Linked DNA regions of Oryzias latipes. The main gene of each other region encodes a partner of the protein of the gene in region 5 in a complex. Links are inferred from orthologs where the notes say so. Each region holds a gene or a part of one and is shown on either strand. Other genes may lie near its edges.

Region 1 (3,286 bases), on a different chromosome or scaffold from region 5:
TTGAAAACTAAATCGATAAAACGTCAGACTTCACAGATGGAAAAGATTAATGTAACTCTACATGTAGCAAACATGACCAAAATCATCACAATGTCATTGGCTCAAACAAACAATCTATGTAGATGACGATTTTTTGTTTTTGGCTCAAATTCAAAGTCTTAGAGCATCTGAAAGGTTTCTCTCCGCTCCAAAACCTCTTTTAAAACATGCCGAAAGACTGTAGAACACTGCTGTTTTGTCTGTTTACTATTTATGCCTCCTAATTTATGTGATGATTCTATTTTCTTTCCTCTGAAAAAGGCCATTTTTAAAGTTGCATAATTATTTTCTAAGGTTTGAATTTGTGATTTTGAATCTTTGAACTGAATTTTTTGAAGTAAAAGTTTTTTTGGTATGTTTTGTATCTCCACAGAAATCATCGCTTTCTGGATCTATTCAAGCTGATTTGGTTTAGCTCGACTTTCTCAACAAACATCCTCTCCTTTCTTAAAAATCATGAGGATTTAGTGCTGCTATTGCAAATCTCTGCCGGGAAAGCTTTTAGGAGACTGTTGCCTTCCCAGCCGACACTCCTACCTTGTTCTGGGTCACGGTGCAGGCCATGCTGTCTATTTGTTCCTGAAAGGCCTTCATGGCCTCGTCGACGGCCTGAATCTGCTGCTCGTAGGTGGCCTGCTCCCTCCGGAGCTCCTCCAGCTCCAAGGCCACAGCTTCAGACTCCTGGAGACGAGAATAAACAAACCCAATGATTAGAAATATTAAATCAAATATTACAAAGGTTTAGCTATCTTAAAATAATTCTGGGAACCACTCATTTCTGCATATTTTCATTAAAACAAACAGTTTACCTGCTGCTTCTGCTTTAAAGTCTTGTTGAAGGCGTCTGCTTTTGCTTTTGCTTTGTTGAGTTTCTCCTGGGCAGCCTTCAACTCCTTCTCCCTCTCAGCCTCGGCATTCTTCATTTTGTTTTCCAGCACCTTGTACTTCTCCTCGGCTCGCTTCTGCAGCTCCTTGGTGAGGCGCAAAGTGGCCTCACTCTCGTCTGGGGAAGCAAACGTCACAAAAGGTCTTAAAATAACTGCAGATGAAACCTCCCGCTTTCCCTCCCTCTATTAAACTGAAGTTAAAGTCCAGACCGATGGCTTTCTGCAGCCTCTCCAGCTCCTCCTGCTGCTGATGGAAGGAGCTCTGCTGCAGCTTGGTCTGCAGGATCTGCTCCTCCTCCACCTTCAGCTCGTGCTGCTGCTTCAGCTGCCGATACCTGCAGAAAGGGAAAAGTGAAATGAAAAACGTCATTTGGAATAAATTAACCAAAGAAATCCTTTCTAAACTACGACAGAGTTGTAAACTGGCCCTAAACAGCTGGGCCTTATACGTTTTTTAAAAGCAGGCTTCCTCAGACAACTTAAAAAATAAATTAAAAAAACACGGTTATCTTCTTTGATTTGACTTTTGTCTCATAAAAATATCCTTCACTACAAGATCAAACAAAACATCTCTATAACTTCTGATTTTTAACTGCAGGCCAAACAAGAAATGTAAAATAGACTTAATAGATTTTTTTTAACACTTGTCACCAGTAGCTTGTTTTAAAGAAACACAATGAATTAAAAAATATATAATCAAGCTGAATTGAATGTTTTATTGATTAAGAGGATCTAATTTTCCATGGTGCATAATAGGGATGCCACCATTCTCGGTTTCAAACCAAACTGTTTGCTCCACATTTAAACCGCATTGTGGGGAAGGGGATTTGTTCCATCGCTACTGCGTGTTTACATTGAAAGTGTCAAACAGTTGTGCTAAATTTAAGAAGGATTTACTATTTATTGTCTTATTACATTACTCCAGGCTTAGTATTAGCCAACTGATATATATATATATATTTTTTTTTTGCTTATTAGCAAATTTAAAATGATTTTTTCAAAAATGTTGTTTGTCTCTTTGTAGTACAAAAGTCATATTTCGAACCGTGACCCAAAAATTGAGGTTTGAACTGAATCGAGGGGAAAGTGAATCACTGCATCCCACTTAAAAGAAGGGGTTTCACAACAGAAAGTACCGCTAGTTTTAGTAAATATATAGGAGTTTTTTTAATGTGTAGAGGAACTTTTCTGCTTTTTCATTTGCATACTTCTCAGCGGTTCCCTTCAGACTGGACATCTGTCGCTCAGTATCCTGAAGTTTGGCCTCCTTATCGCTCAGGCTGTCCTGAACATCTTTTACTTCCTGCAGGCTCGACAAAATCGATGCCGACTGCGAGCGAGCGCCTGGAAAGAAAAAAAGAGGAGCCAAGTATTGAAACTGATTTGATTTTCCAAGGAAACAGGAGTCGAGCGTTGATCTCACCTCCACTCAAAGTTCCCTGCGGGTCAAAGATGTCTCCCCCAAGCGTAACAGTCTTGGTCATCACCTGTTTGTCAAACGCCACTTTCTTTGCGTTGTCCAAAGTGTCACAGACCAGCGTGGAGCCGAACACATACTCCATGGCTTTACGAAGGTCAGACTCGTATCCCACCAGGGACAGAGCTGTGTGAACGTTGTCCTCCCCGACCTCACAGAACAAAGACAAAATCACGGAAAATTACCTACGAGAAAACCTAATGAATGAGATGTGATTCCTTTTATACACAAGAAAAAGTCGGAGACTATGAAAGCACAGAGTTTTCTCACCAGGCGCTTCGCGGTGTGGATCACTTTGTCGTTGAGAGTTTTGGCAGATATCTTGTTGAGAGGAATGATGGTGTACCTGCGCTGTAGCTCTCCTTTCTCCAGCAGCTTCTTACCAGTCACCTAAGAAGGAAGGATTCAATCATTTAGTCACAAAGATTCTGTTTATTCACCTGTGAAATAAATTTAAAAAAAAAACTTTCAAAAGGTCTACCTCTGTGTCTACAACAATGTTGTAGAGCCGTCCACCTGCAACTACCTCCAGTGCCGTGGCATAGGAAACATCACTGACACTTATGAGATTAGCTAGAAGGCCCTTCACTTTGCTTCGGTCCCAGCCTCTCTCCGGATCTCTGGGAGACAGCAGAATTTATTACAACAGAAAAGAAGAAAAATGCAAACTGAAGAAAAGAAAAATGACTCAAATAAAACATCGTCAAGAGGAAGAAAAAAAACTCAATTCATGGTGGACAAGATAAGAAATTAAAGTTCTATTTCTTAATCAAATCTTTAGATTAGATAGTTCATAGAGATGAAAGAAACAGCAGAATCAATCATTTGTCCACACTTAAAACTTCAAATCAAAATAGTTCCTGTTTATGTTTAAGCTGTAAAA
Region 2 (3,635 bases), on a different chromosome or scaffold from region 5:
TCTGCTCTTTCAAAAACCAACAGTTACTCTCTGGATAGAAATGGCTTTCTTGTTCCACCTCCCCTCCAGCAAAGAGTTTGGGTGTCACTCTCAACGACACATTCTCCTTTTACGCTCCCATCGATAGTCAGCACATTTTCACCTTTGCAATAACCCCTCCCTCCCTCCCTCCCTCCCTCCCTCCCTCCCTCCCTCCCTCCACATCCACAGCTTATTTCCTGTCTTCATTACTGGAACTCCCTTCTTTTCATTTTTCCCTAAACTTGCACTGCTCCCTCTTTTCTTCACATCACTCAAATTCTTCACCAACTCCACTGTTTCTCAGTAGATCAAAAGGGTTGAGAACAAAATCCTTCGACTTTGTTCATGTGTGTTTTGTTTTTTTAAGGACCTTGACTGACAAGTGCTTCAAATAAAATAAATGATTATCATTATTTCGTCCTAAAAACACGCATAAAGATGTATTTGACAGCATAATAAAGTAAAAATAAAAAACGCTTTTTACCAAGGAAGACATCAATGCACTTATAGTTGGACCAATTCGAGTCTTGATGTTCATCTGCTTCATCAGCTCAGCACACATCGTTAAACACCTCAGAAGAGTCTCTGGGTCATTCTAATAAAAGGACATAAAAAAAAGAACATCAGTTCCATGAAACCCAGCAATGACGCATCCTGGATCTCACCGGACCTTCTCGGTGCGGGGCTCCTTGTCAGTCGGCTGGCCGCCCTCGGCGATGTCCTGAAGGATTTGGTTTCTGCTCTCCTCGAGGCGTGTGATGGATTCCTTCAGCTCTGCCGCTCGGCTGAACTCCTGAGCAGCGATACAATCCTCCAGAGTTTGTTTAGCTTCCAAGATCTGGACCTTTACTTCTGCCAGCTGCATGGAGGAGGAGGAGGAAAGGAGAACGTTTGGATGCAGCTACAACAATTTCCAACAAACAGGAAGAAATCAGTTTAAAACATTCACACATTCTTTACTTTCTCTGTAGCACCTTTAATTTATGTGGGAGTGACTCCTAAACCAGAAACTTGATCTGTTTTTATTAAGGTAAAATAATAGCAGCAGGAACATAAAACATCACTTTTTGGCTGTTATTTGGACATTTATTAGGTAGTTTTCATATTACGGTTTCTCAATGTATTTACTGTCATTTTATTTTATTTTCAAATGCTCTTTTTTTGAATGGAACACCAAAAATTAATTGTTTAAAGGAGAGAAAACAAAGAAATGACTGATGAGGAGGAAATGCAGCAGATAAAAAACATGAAACATTTGAAGTTAGGAAATCCACATTTTTAAAGGTTTCTTTGGCAAATGTTAAAAGCCTTAATTTTTCTAGTGAAAAGACTTAGACATTTTATTCACTAAAGGCAGGGGAAAGGATGGCAAAATCCAGATCCTGCTGGAGTTTTTCATTCAAGCGTTGCCCACCTTAACCTGCTGCCGTCGGCTCTCATTCTCATCCACAGCCCGATTGGGCTCCATGATGGGTTCCCTCAAGTCCGAGATGATTTCTGCCACCTGCAAAAAGACAACAGCATCTAGTAGAAGTCAGCCTCAGTGTAAAGCAACACAGCAGAAGGGAACCTACAGTCTGGATGCGCCTGTGGTCATCAGGGATGAGGGAGAGGAGTTTTTCAGTAAGCAGGGAAATCAGGGAGGAGGGGGTCTGTGGAAGAGCCATCATGTCCTGCAGAACTGCCAGCACACGCTTTCTGCAAATATTAAAAACCATGACATGCACTAAAAATCTACACAATCCCATCTGACAATAAGCTTAAGGCCTGGATTTCAATCCACAACAGGAAGTCTTCAAACATAGATTGTACCAACTGTAACCAGATCAAAAACGTGCTTTGGTTGATCTCTAAGAATTCATTTCCATGTAGTATTTGTTGTTGTTTCTGTTTCTCTTAGGATCAGATTGTGAATCTATAAGGCTTAAACTTTTACATTTTTCCTTTTGTTGAATCCTCTCCATACAATAACAAACAAATAATGTTTTCCAGTAGTTTTCCTTGGATTCAAAGGATTTCATACCTGCCACCTTCCTCGTTCGTGTCGAGGCAGCGGATGAGGTGGATGAGTTGTTGAGAGATAAATTCTTTGGTCATGACCAGCTCCAGCTGGTTGAAGTCGCCTCTCTGCTCCTCTGTGAGCAACGGCACCGCCTTCAGATATCTGCGAGTTAAGTAAGGGTTAATGGCCGACGAAGTGTGCAGTGTCACTGTTTAACGCACGCCGTGGAATCAGCTGACAACCCATTTACATCAACGCAAAATGACATTAACATTTTCAAAAAAAAGAAACGTTAATACAGCTTTTAGGAAAAGTTGTGTTAACTACTTTATTGTCTACATACAATCTGTCAGTTTTCAGCAAACTGACCAATTCACTGAATGTAGGGAAAATCCAAACTCTGGAGTTGTGACATCTGTAATCCTGTCAAGCTTTACATTTATTTAAACTGTTTTACACTGAAAAGCTGAATATTTTATTCTTTTATGAGTGAATATATCATCCCAACTTGATTGTCTTTCCTCTTTGATTTTAAAAATCAGATTTTTTCTCTTTTTTTAAATGGCCGGAAGGAGCAGGCCTCACAAACAGCAGTTTGAGCCCTTTCATTCACCTGTTAGTTGTAAAAAAATGTGCTGTTTTTTTTTGGCTTCAAACTGGAATTGACCAACTGTTCTGTTTTACAGATTTTTGTTCAAGTTTTGCGTTTTTTTTCCAACTGTGTGTGTGTGTCCTTGCTTCTACTTCTGATTGCATGCTCTTTTGTTCTGGTTAGTAATATAATAAAGTTATATTTAAAAGTACAAGCACTTAAGTGGTGTAGTAGAGTAGTGTCCTAAGACTTAGGATTTCTTTGAGCCTCCTCCATTGCTGAATTCCACTGAGAAATCGGAACCCGCTCTCACATAAGTACAGAGAAATACATTAACAACTCGGCTTAGTTAAAAAATTAATTGTTGCAGAGTAAGTATTATGGGATTCTTCCATAAATTTCTTCCTAATCAATAATAAGACTGCACAAGCCGTTTACTAACTTTCAAAAGCAATTTAAAACCTTTGATGCTCTTACCCACAAAGGTACTCAGCATAAGCAGCAGCATCTGGCAACACTTGTTCCAGCATTTCTTCTCCATCATCTCCTTTGTCCTTGATGAACTCACACAGCGCTCTCCAGTAAAGCACATTTTCACAGGTCAAAGAGTCAATTGGGATCACCTTCCTGTTGAAAAAAGTAAAGCAACAGATTCTTTAACCCTCCAACATTTTTACGACATCTCTTCAAATAGTAGGAAAGCTAAAAGCGGACCTGTTGTCAAGCCCCTCCCTGTTCTGCAGCAGTTCTTCTGCAGGCATGCTTTTGAAGATGGCTTTCAGCGTGTCCATCGCCGCATCTGCACAGTTTTCCACATCCAGTCGGTGGAGCAGCTCGATGACATCACCGTCCAGGCGGAGCAGCCAGGCTGGCAGGAGGCGGCTGCAGACCACCTCTCTCACTGCCTCTGCACGGAAACGTAAATAACACATGTACTGTGAGAAAGAGATCATTCATTGGAAGTTTTATTACTTCTAAATATACAGATTTATAAAAATTCTACATCAACTTACTGAAAGT
Region 3 (3,635 bases), on a different chromosome or scaffold from region 5:
ACTTGCCGCTTGCTATCACTTATTCTATTATTTTTTTAGCGTCATAATCTCAAGGCTCACCGGCGCCCCCTAACGTGAGGCACGGGAACTTCTGGCCTCACCCAGCGGCTTTTTCGCCGGCGTTTAGCGCTCAGCACAAGAAACACGTCCCTCACATACAGTTATTTATAAAAACAAACACTGTACATCATATACATCTGCTAAATTATGCAAACTCAGCTCATACAGTACAAGTGATTGAACCGACATACAGAGAGACAGCAGTACCGTCTGACTGCATAGGTATTGCGCAATCCAAGGTGAGGCTCAGCGGGCTGGTGCCTCATCGCACGTCACTTCTTAGTATCTGAACGGCAAATGCGGAAATTCAGCGATTTTGAAAAGAAAAAACACCCAAAATTGGTACATTTAAATGGAAAATGACTGCAAAGCACAAATTACTGATTAAATATAATAGTTGAATTTATTTTTTCTCTTTTCTTCCCATGACAGGTGAGGCACAGCCTCACCTGCCTCTCCTGACTGCACGTCACTGATTTAGTGTAACTGTTACTATCCAAGTCTTATTCATTTGATACTATTTTTTTTCTTGTCTGAAATCTTAGGTCACCTTTCTAATAAATGTGTCTTATTGAAATCTATAAAAAAATAAGATTATTAGTAAAAATGTTTAGAGAGAAAAATCCTTAAAAAAAGAGGAAGAAGTCACACTCCTCCATTTTGATTTAGTGTTTCTCTCAGTTTCTGAAAATCTACTGGTGTAATCACATTTAATGAAACTTTTTAAATGTTTTTTTCTTTAAAAAAAATCTTTTTCAGTCGCCTCATGTCCATGCAAGTTTCATATTGCTAAATTTAAGTGTTTAAATCTATATTAGACTTGTGTGTGGTGTCATCGCTGTTACTGACAGCTGTTGTTGAATCTTAATCTCTTGTATGTTTCATATGGATGATGCATTCATTTTTATTTATTTATTTTTGTCTCCTAATTTCTTCCCAGCGCTTTTCCTGCATCATTGGTCCAAATGGAAGCGGCAAGTCTAATGTGATAGACTCCATGCTCTTTGTGTTTGGATACAGAGCTCAAAAGATAAGATCAAAAAAGCTTTCAGTGTTGATTCACAGCTCTGATAAACACAAAGATGTGCAAAGCTGTACTGTGGAGGTGCATTTTCAAAAGATCATTGATAAGGTATACAGATATTTATAAACACTTTTTTTTTTTACACACAAATACAAACTTCACTAAAATGATCAGTTTGTTGTTCAAACAAACAAAAAAAAAATCACCAGAAATATTTTAGTTGGGCAAAAATGAATTTTTAAAATGTATTTGTTCTTTGTCGTTTCTAATGCAGTAATATTGCTGCTCAATTCTTCTTCTAGTGACCAAGTGTAAACTTAAATCAGTTGTGAAAGTTACTGGAACTCCCACACGTGCCACATTTGAGTCATTTTGCCCTAAAATTGATCTGATGGCAATGAAGGGAAAGAGATAAACAAATGCATTTATTGCCTCTGCTTTTTTTCATGGTGGCAAAAAAAAAAAAAAAGCAGTAGTGTTTGCTTTAGGTAGGATGTAATAACAGGCTGCTGTAACCACCAACTGTGAGCTACATTTTCCCCCCAATTAGAAAATTTTTTATAAATTAAATTAGCCATAGGGACTGTGAATTTGATCACACTGCTGAAGCTAAAATGTTGTGTATTTTTTAATAAACATTGATTTGTCTTAAAATTGGCACAAACTGAGAAATCTGTCAGTTTTGTATTTACAATCATTCCTTAAAACTACAGGGTTTTTTCTTTCAGCGATGTGCACACGGCCTTAAATAAATAGCCTTTTTTCTTCTTTCAACTAAACATTTTTACCCAATCCGTTTATCTTTTGTAGTTACAAGTTTAGGAAGCTTACGATGCAATACACTCCAATACACATTTAGTGTTTTATCTTATCCTTTGCCTTTATAGATGTAGTGCATTCTCATAAACAATATTTTATGTGTGTGTTTTTCTATGTAGGCCTTGTTAATAAGTGAATCTGTCAGTGTTGGAACAGTTTGACGTGTTGGGCTGTTTCAGCCTCTCCTGAACTGTTCTGTTCTAAGCTGCTGTGTCTTCTGCCCCTCCCCCCCCCCCGAGCCAGGAAGGAGATGACTACGAAGTCATCCCCAACAGCAAATTCTACGTTTCCAGGACTGCCAACAAAGACGGTTCCTCAGCCTACCATATCAATGGCAAGAAAGCCACATTTAAAGAAGTGGGGGCATTACTACGAAGTCACGGTATTGACCTCGACCACAACAGGTTTCTGATTTTACAGGTAATTATTTAGTGTTTTTCTTGTATTCTTTCCTTTTTTCCTCTTATCCTGCAAGTCCAAAAAACTTTATTTTTTTTTGAATAATCATGCCATTCTGTCATTTATCTTTTTTTATTATTATTTTTTTATTTTTTTTAGTGCAATTCTCAGGTTCTTTTTTGCTTAAATGTTTCTCATGTACCTGTAGGCCATGTCTGGAAATGTCATGGAATATGCTGTGGTGTCATAGAAAAGAACTGGGGAGGGGTTGCCCTCTGCAAGACCTTAGAATGCTGTAGCAGCGCATCATGGTTTGAAACAGTCAGAAAAAAGTGCGAACCATTATTTGCTGCTTTAGAATTTTAAGGAAAAAATGCAAAAAATTGAAATTCTCCCACATAAACCTGAATGTCAGTTGCTAAACTATTTGCTAGCTTAACAGAGTTTTTTTATATTTTTAATATTTTTTTTATTTTAATTTTTTTATTTTTGTGGATCCACTAATGGCGATGAGGTGGACCCTTCCTTTTTCAATATACCTGCTACGCTGTAGCAGCACGTAAATATTGGCGTGTGAAAAAAGCCCCCAACCCCAATATTAGCAGTGCTGCTTCAGTGTGACGGGATCAAACATCCTCTGTTGCCAGGACTTTAACTATCTGTCTTGGTTCACGTTTTGTTCTATTACTGTAATTCATGGTATACTATGGTCCTACATTATTCTTGGTTAAAAAGATTTACGGTAACCAAGTTTAAATCGTCTCACCTGTCATAATTTTCTTCTTAATATTTTAATTTTCTTTTTCATTTAATTGTATTTTTTACCTACCATAAAATAAAAAATAAAATATTGAAAAACTTTTCCAAGAAAAAAATGTAATCTCACTTTATAATCAATTATTTCACATCTTTTTTTTTTTTTTTTAATAAAAAGTGTTGTGTTTTTTCTTTTTTCCTCTAAATCTGCCCGTCTATATTCCTTCTCCTTACACAACCCTGTTTTTGGCATGGCTCCATGACTATGGGAAGAGTCTTGAGCTTGGCTTCAAGGTCACTTTTCCAGACCTTTAGCAAAAGGGGAAGCGGTGTCATTTGTGCTCCAATCAGGACAGAAGGATGTGGGGTTAGATCTCCCTTCTTCCTTGAGCTTATTTGTTTCATCAACATACAGTAATGTCTGATCTACTTTTTACCCTGCATATAAATCAACCCTGGGTTAAGCAAGTGTGTTATATGACAAAAATCAGGTCAGTGATGAGTGTTTGAATTGAACTAGATGTTTTCTCTTGTTGTTTTTGAATTGTTTGCCAGATTACTTAAAGTAGTTTCGTAA
Region 4 (3,626 bases), on a different chromosome or scaffold from region 5:
TTTTTTTGCTCTGGTATTTATTTTTGTTATTCAAGTGTTTTATGTCGCACATTAGCACCGCAGCAAATTCCAATTCTGTGAAAATGCCCTGCTCACTGGCAATAAATACTCCTTGAATCCTTTGAAGTAATCTTTTGTGTTTTTAAACAGAAAGTCTGAAGAGAGGTATGATGGGAAAACCACTTTTAAACAGTATATTTAACAAAACAAACAAAACTAATTACTTATGTGTTATATATTAATTGCATTACTATAAACATTTTGAGACACATTACACAATTTAGTGATAATCGGACAAAAGCACATTTCTACCATTATATTAGGATTAAATTAGGAAACCTAAAGTAAAAACACTGTTTATATCAAAGTTCCTGTGTGCAAGATTAAAAACTTCTACGCCAAGGACTGGAATGTGATTAGTCCTCTGCTCTTTCTTGTTCTGTATCTCCTTAATGAAAGGACGTCATGTCGTCTCACCCAGATGGAAGCACAGACCCAGACAAACCGGCTTAACCTCTACGGGAAGGCGACAGCAAAGTTGCAAACTCACACTATAAACAGGTTTAATGTGCCAGGATTTCACACGTTCTGCCCAAATTTAAGTCACAAACTCAACCACATTTATGGGAAAAAAAAACATTTTATTTCTTTTGACAATATATATCTTTTGAGCAGTGGTTGAAAAGTTCTTTTATCTACACAACAGATAATCATGAAATAGTACAGAGTTAAAAAAAAGGTCGTCTTGTCATTATGAGGGAAAAAAGGGCAGATTTAAAACTTAAGCACAAAGTGAATAAAACCTGACATTTTAAATAGAAAAAGCATAAATTCAAAGAAAGAAGAGGACAGAATTTAAAAAAATCTCCTGGTTTTCTCCTTAGCGGCCTTGTCTGATGATAATGTCTGACATGTCATCAACTTTGACCAGCTCCAAATTCTGTAAAACAGACAATTCAAAACTGTTAAAAGGTGTTAAAGCTTCAGACGTTTGTCTACAGAAAATAACTTGGGTTATGTTGTTATAACCTTTTATAAAAGTAGAATTCCTAAAGCTGAAAGTTGCTCTTGATAATAAATTAATGTCAAATATAATGTTAAATTAAAGTCATTTTAAAGACAAACAGGATTCATTTAAAAGGCTCTTAAGTTGAAACATTTTAAAGTCGAGTAGGAGTAATGACACGTCTGTCACTATCTTTATAAGCAAAGTGATCCCACAAACTGATAACACTGAGTGAGTGACCGAAGAGTGCACATGTTTATCTTGAGCTGTTTCAAATGTTCTTTTATTTTCATGGTTTTATGTTTGTGTGTGTATCAATGCCTCTGGGTCACGTCTCTCTCTAAAAATGTTTTATCTCAAGGGACTTCCTGGTAAAATAAAGGTTAAATAAAAAGAAACCAAACTGATAAGATATTTTCAGAACCTCAAATACAGTACAACTCATTTACTTCCATTTGATTTTAAATGAATTAACTCATGAACCAATATTATTTTGGTTTTTTTGACAACCAAAAATAGAGTCGGGTCGTCAGTCCTGCTGTTCATTGGTAAATGATAAACACTTTTTTTCCCATTAATCTAGGAACTGATTACATGATGACATCAGTATATGTAATAGATATACGTTACAGATGTGCGTGTCAATTAGCCATTTCAAACTTTCACACACTGTCAAAAGACGGAAAAAACTAGATCACATGCTAAGCAACTAGAAATTATGTTCCCCTTTTAAGTAAAAAAACAACACAGAAAAGTGTGAAACACTTCTTTTAGCTCCATCATATGCTTAATATTTGTTTATTTTTGGTGGGATTATGTAAATTTGCTTCTTCCCACTTCATTTCAAGCTATTCATCAAACTCTATCTGACAATCATTATATTGAATTGATTGTACTGTACATAAAAATGCAAGTTTGTCTATTTATGATTAGGAGTTATTGTAATGCCAAGAGGGTTGCAATGTTTTCTTTTATTTTCTAATAAATAGTTGCACCTTTTCATTTGCCAGATGAAGCAGAGCCACAAAGGCCAGCGGCACCGACAGGTTCTGAGCCATAACGTTCGGCAACCTAAGGGGTACAAGAAGGAGGGGGGAGAAGGAGGAGGAGCACATTTCAAATCAAACTCTTCAAGGTTCTGTCAGCATCAGTCTATAAAGGAAGATAATGTCTCACAAGAATACGAAAAAAAAAAGTGTTGGAGGAGCCAAAACTTTTTGGTAAAACCCACGCATGGATTCCAAACCAGCAATGTTAGTAGAATGTGAGGCTTTCTAAAGCTTTTGATGATTGTTGCTATAAGTGCCAGAGTTGTGTTGGTACCTTTGAAGCAGCATCTTTGTGGTCTGACTGAAGGCTTTCTCCCCACACACATCCTGAGTCTCAACAGTCTCCTTCACCTGCAGAAAGACAAAAACCAGATGAACACAGCTGCCCTCTCTAGACCGTCCTCAAGCACCAACGCCAGACACCTAAACATTCATCAACATGATACAATACAGACAAAAAAGAAAGAAACAAAGTAAAAGCACCTGTACCTTTTCTTCTGGACTATCTGTTAAAAGAGTCCACATGCTGTTCTTAAGCTTCTTCATATCCATTTTCTTTGCTGTCTTGGCATAATTGATTTCAATTTTGTTGACCTGCAAACACAAGCAGTAGAGTAAAAATCAATTCCATACAAAGTTCAGCCTTTTTGGAAAAGGCCTCAATCATGCTTTTTAAGCATTTCTGAGTGAACTATATCCATATATGTAATAATAAATTACATTTTGGCACACTACAGAACAAATTTTGTATTAAATATTTGTTATTTTCATCAGTTCTTTTTCGCTTGGGTGCCGCTCACTTCATGACATCAACCTAGAGTCGGCCTCGGCTGCATCTCGCCAATAAAAACAAACAACATTTGAACTATTGCAAAGATACATGTGCTTATAAAAGGAAAGCGCTTTTGATGATCACCGCTCGGTTTGTGGAGAAAGTGGGTGTGCGTGTTAGCCTGGGGGTGGCGCTGGCAGGGTAGACTTTTCCTGGAAGGGGCTGTTCCTCACTTATCTACGCCACAATGAACCCGCTTATTTTCACGGGTTGGGAGGGGCTGGTGCTCAGAAATGCGTGAATGGATCCGAATACCGCTTTGGGGTTGTTTATAGTGAGGAATTAACATGATAATACACTTAAAAGCTCAAAAGGTTGATTTTACATGATGCAGGCCCTTTCATGATCGAGATTCACAGGCTTCAGGTTTACTGCCAGGTAAATGAATACGTGTCAAACAAACAAAACAAACTAAATCCATTATGTGTTCTTGAAAAAGAAAAAAAAACCCTGCATGACTCACTCTGTGAGGCTCAGGTACCAGTTCATCCTCCCCGTAGGTGGACACACCCTCCAGGTCTTGTGAGGGTGGAGCTTCACTACCACCTGACGGCTGGATGTCATCGGAACCAGTAAACCCCTCAACATCGTCGTCATCACTGTCACCCCCCTGAAGCAGAGGACAGACCAGGAGATGACAGAAGGAAACGCAAAGATAAAAGCTTTGTTTGCTTTACTGTTTTATCAAAAATGTTCCCCATAAATGGCTTTAGTGAGTAAGGTTGGCACGCAGTAACTG
Region 5 (3,635 bases):
ATCACGAATACAAAGAGTTCAATAGGAAAATACTAAAATGAACTAACAAACTGACTAAGCTATACTGGCAATCAATGAAAATATTAAATGTAAATTGGTGTGAAACATTAATACAGCACCAATATATTTAACATTTTTAGTCTGAAGAAATGGGTAAAAACATTGTGCTGATTTTTTTTTTTTCCTTCTTTTTTCTAAATGATGAGCTGAGTCATCTACAGGCACACGATGATCCTGGTGCAATAAAGCTGCCCGCGTGCGCTGTTCCACCTCTCAGCCTGAGCCCACTACCCCTCCCCTTTCATTCTCTCACACGCGTGCAGCGTGTGACAGGAGCAGCTGCAGGGACGGCAGTTCACAGTTCCAGGCTGTTACAAACTCTGCCATATATCAGATGATAGGAAACCATGAGTGGCGCAAATTTTTTCCCAAGCACTCAGCTGCTGTCACCACCGCGCCCCCACCCCCGTTAAATTTGCAGGCAATTGCCCATATTACTTGTGGCTAAAACCGCTACTACGCCCCCCCCCCCCGGCATCGTATGGGCGCGCCCCACTAATTGAGAAGCGCTGCTTTAAAGAATGATGCTAAAACTAAGAGGTTTTAGTATTATTTTGGTTTGAATAGGCTGTGTTGGTTAACATGCAATCATGTGTTGTAGGTGCAGGAGTTTTTTGCCAGTGGCAGTAACCTCCAGTCCACCGTGGTTCAGGTCTTGTGGGAGAGATTTACCGGTAAACGAGAAACTTCTGCCTTACACAAGCGAGCTGCTGTGTTGCTGCTGGGCATGGCAGCACGGTAAGACACTAAAAACTCTTTATTATTTACAATAGTCTTTAAACAGATTCAAATAAGTCATTTGAATATATAGATCACATTTTTCTTTGCCTTTCGGCTGTCCCCTGGACCCTCATTTGTGAAAGTCCTTCACCTTCTTCACCTGTTCCGTCTTGCAGCAGCTGACCTTCATTTTATCCAAACACAGATTTGTTCTATTTCATTTTAATGTTATCTTTGACATCAACTAGCACAGTAGGGCACAAAAAGATGTCATCTGCATTGAATGTAATTTCAGCCAGCTCAAGCAGCACTTCCTTTTTACATTTTCATCATCTTCAGCTGCTTGATATTTAGCAAATGGTTCTTAGTCTGAAAACAAGTTCCCCGCCTGTGCTTCTCTTTGTAACTGTAGTCACGACCATATAACTAAGCTCCTTTTCTTTACGTGTGTGTGTGTGTGTATTTATGCATGCTGGCTCTTTCTCTCACTATCTCTCAAAGACTATTGCTTTAGGGAAGAGGGAGTGAATAGGCAAGTGAGAGAGTAAAGAGTGTCTCTGCAGTCCTCCCACACTGCTGCTTCCCATCCAGCACCAGCAGCATTCGTAACCTATTAAACCTTCTGTGCTTTACTCACCCATCTTCCCACATGCATTATCTGGGCAGCCTCCTAGTACTGATTAGACCAGCACAGAGCATCCAGGGTCATTTAGGTTACTGTTGCTGTTGCCTCACTTTGCATTACGGCATAATCAATTGAGATTATACAATATTTATACTTCAGTTTGATTTAAAAAAAACAAACATTGTTTTATTTGTTTTTTTAACAGGGCAGAAAGAGAAGTGGTGCTCAGTAACCTGGATACTCTCTGTTCAGTGGCTGTGGGAGAAAAAGCTACACAAGACTTTCTGCTAGCTAGAGACACAGTTATCACCATCTGCAGCATCACTGACCACGTCAGGGTAAGAAACAAAAGTTCCCTCGAAACATCTGACCTGACGATTTCTGCCCAGGTGAAAGAAACTCTGTCCATGAATATTTTCCTCCTCAAGGCGCCTAAATGTTTTCCGTTTCTAGTTTTGGGAGGATTCCACAATGGTTCACAAGAGATTAATTTAACATTGCACTAATACTTAGTGTCCTATCAAAAATCTGCATCTTTAACTGTATATGTTTTAAGTTTCATAGCATTCAAAACATGTACATTTTGTTGAACAAAACAAATCAATTCATTGAAACTTTTTGAATGCCTTTTGTTTGGTTGACCATGTCAACAGCGATCAAAGCAGTCAAAAGGTCAGAAAAAACCATTTTCTCCTCATTAGCAGTCAAAGGGAGCTCCGTTCAGACTGCCTCAGGACCACCAGTTGTTCACCTGCCTGACACAGGCCATTGCAGAAGGTAAACCAGAAAAAGAAACGCTTTAAGAAAATCTCATTATTCATTGTCTTCATTTTTTCCTGTCTTTTTCCCTCAGGTGTGGTAATGGAAGACCCTTTCTGGCAGAGCTTCATGGAGCAGGCTGTCCGTCTCATCTTCTTCCTAGCTGAATCCCCAGAACAGCTGTGCTCTCGGCTCCTCCAGCGAAGCGCCCGGCTCTTATTGGATCAGATTTCTGAAGGTGGGGAAGTCTGCAAGGATGTCGACCAAATGCCAAATGGTTCTCAGGAAACCAATGAGCAAGGTAGACCCTTTTTTTCTTTTAAAGAAGACATTTTCATGGTCTAGAGTTGACACTGTAAATGTAACTTGTTTCCAATTCCTTTAGTGAACTGCGTGTGTCTGGCTCAGCTGCTGGCCCTGTGTGGATGCGTGGCTTTCTGGCAGGTGTCTCACCTGGAGCGCAGTGTGAGTGCGGAGCTCCGGAGGAGGAGAGGAGAGACGGAGGAGAGGGAGGAGAAGGAGAAAGGGCCATCCAGCAAAGCTAAGGTGTTTTTCAACTTTTGCACTTTGGAAATGTTCTCATGTCTTTGATAGAATTAAAGCTGGCTCACCTGTTAAGTTTCTCCTTTGTAATAAAAAAAAAATCAAACTACCAGTATTTGTTTTTCTACAACTTTTGTTCTGACACTGTTCTGCAGCTTTGTTTCTTTACCGTCTTCTATTAACAGAACTTTAGGGAGCCTAATTTAATCTAGGTAATAGCCTCCAACTGTCTAGGTAACAGCTAAGGATGCAAATGACTGCTAAAACACATCTTTCTACCTTCTTGAAATACATACTTTTAAACAAATATTCTTCCTTTTTCATGCATTTAAGTTACACAATATGTCCCTTTATGCAGCTTTTACTCACTCAAATAATTAGAAGTTCTCTAGTTTGTTTCATCTCAAACGTCAAATCAAAACATTGCTATGATGGATGCTGTCTTGCTTGAAGGTCTTTCATTGTTTTCATTTGACATCATTTATAGCAGCAGGCAGCCAATGAAAGTGCAATGGAGGAAGAGCTTGGCCTGATTGGAGCCTCTGCTGAAGATACAGAAGCTGAACTCATCAGAAGAATCTGTGAAACAGAATTACTTTCAGGTAAAGAAAATCGATTTTTAATTTTCCAGTACATATCCAAGTATTTCATAATAGTTGAAATCCTTCATACAATAAACAGAAACCAACATTTGTTTTTCTTTTTTCCCTTTTCAATCGGTTCAGAGGAGAACCTGCTAAGTGCTTTTCTACCTTTGCTGGTGAAAGTGTGTAGCTCTCCAGGGCGCTATTCTCACCCTCAGCTCACCACTGCTGCGTGTCTGGCGCTGTCTCAGTACATGATGATAAAGTAAACACAGTGCTCTCTCAGCTTTAAACTCATGTAATGTACATATGTCTACATAGTAATCGCATGTCTTTCTGCCTTA

The links.
Region 1: ncapd2 (region 5) and smc2 share a complex: the UniProt entries of both Homo sapiens proteins name them as parts of the condensin complex. The link is inferred for Oryzias latipes from reciprocal best matches to the Homo sapiens genes NCAPD2 and SMC2.
Region 2: ncapd2 (region 5) and ncapg share a complex: the UniProt entries of both Homo sapiens proteins name them as parts of the condensin complex. The link is inferred for Oryzias latipes from reciprocal best matches to the Homo sapiens genes NCAPD2 and NCAPG.
Region 3: ncapd2 (region 5) and smc4 share a complex: the UniProt entries of both Homo sapiens proteins name them as parts of the condensin complex. The link is inferred for Oryzias latipes from reciprocal best matches to the Homo sapiens genes NCAPD2 and SMC4.
Region 4: ncapd2 (region 5) and ncaph share a complex: the UniProt entries of both Homo sapiens proteins name them as parts of the condensin complex. The link is inferred for Oryzias latipes from reciprocal best matches to the Homo sapiens genes NCAPD2 and NCAPH.

What each region holds. Positions count from the first base shown.
Region 1 is NC_019859.2:11,209,117-11,212,402, reverse strand, and holds part of smc2 (structural maintenance of chromosomes protein 2), read right to left. Parts: intron 3,024-3,286; coding exon 2,885-3,023; intron 2,794-2,884; coding exon 2,674-2,793; intron 2,555-2,673; coding exon 2,350-2,554; intron 2,271-2,349; coding exon 2,135-2,270; intron 1,262-2,134; coding exon 1,137-1,261; intron 1,043-1,136; coding exon 849-1,042; intron 721-848; coding exon 577-720; intron 1-576. UniProt on the Homo sapiens protein: Central component of the condensin complex, a complex required for conversion of interphase chromatin into mitotic-like condense chromosomes.
Region 2 is NC_019859.2:13,397,586-13,401,220, forward strand, and holds part of ncapg (condensin complex subunit 3), read right to left. Parts: intron 3,523-3,635; coding exon 3,330-3,522; intron 3,243-3,329; coding exon 3,093-3,242; intron 2,186-3,092; coding exon 2,045-2,185; intron 1,720-2,044; coding exon 1,596-1,719; intron 1,526-1,595; coding exon 1,436-1,525; intron 881-1,435; coding exon 692-880; intron 617-691; coding exon 506-616; intron 1-505. UniProt on the Homo sapiens protein: Regulatory subunit of the condensin complex, a complex required for conversion of interphase chromatin into mitotic-like condense chromosomes.
Region 3 is NC_019871.2:13,494,301-13,497,935, forward strand, and holds part of smc4 (structural maintenance of chromosomes protein 4), read left to right. Parts: intron 1-1,000; coding exon 1,001-1,192; intron 1,193-2,146; coding exon 2,147-2,323; intron 2,324-2,830; exon of another isoform or gene 2,831-2,933; intron 2,934-3,635. UniProt on the Homo sapiens protein: Central component of the condensin complex, a complex required for conversion of interphase chromatin into mitotic-like condense chromosomes.
Region 4 is NC_019867.2:25,810,884-25,814,509, forward strand, and holds the end of ncaph (condensin complex subunit 2), read right to left. Parts: intron 3,498-3,626; coding exon 3,351-3,497; intron 2,650-3,350; coding exon 2,545-2,649; intron 2,407-2,544; coding exon 2,330-2,406; intron 2,078-2,329; coding exon 2,002-2,077; intron 941-2,001; coding exon 881-940; 3' UTR 621-880; downstream 1-620. UniProt on the Homo sapiens protein: Regulatory subunit of the condensin complex, a complex required for conversion of interphase chromatin into mitotic-like condense chromosomes.
Region 5 is NC_019874.2:20,234,046-20,237,680, forward strand, and holds part of ncapd2 (condensin complex subunit 1), read left to right. Parts: intron 1-661; coding exon 662-798; intron 799-1,610; coding exon 1,611-1,743; intron 1,744-2,106; coding exon 2,107-2,182; intron 2,183-2,258; coding exon 2,259-2,465; intron 2,466-2,549; coding exon 2,550-2,710; intron 2,711-3,194; coding exon 3,195-3,309; intron 3,310-3,432; coding exon 3,433-3,556; intron 3,557-3,635. UniProt on the Homo sapiens protein: Regulatory subunit of the condensin complex, a complex required for conversion of interphase chromatin into mitotic-like condense chromosomes.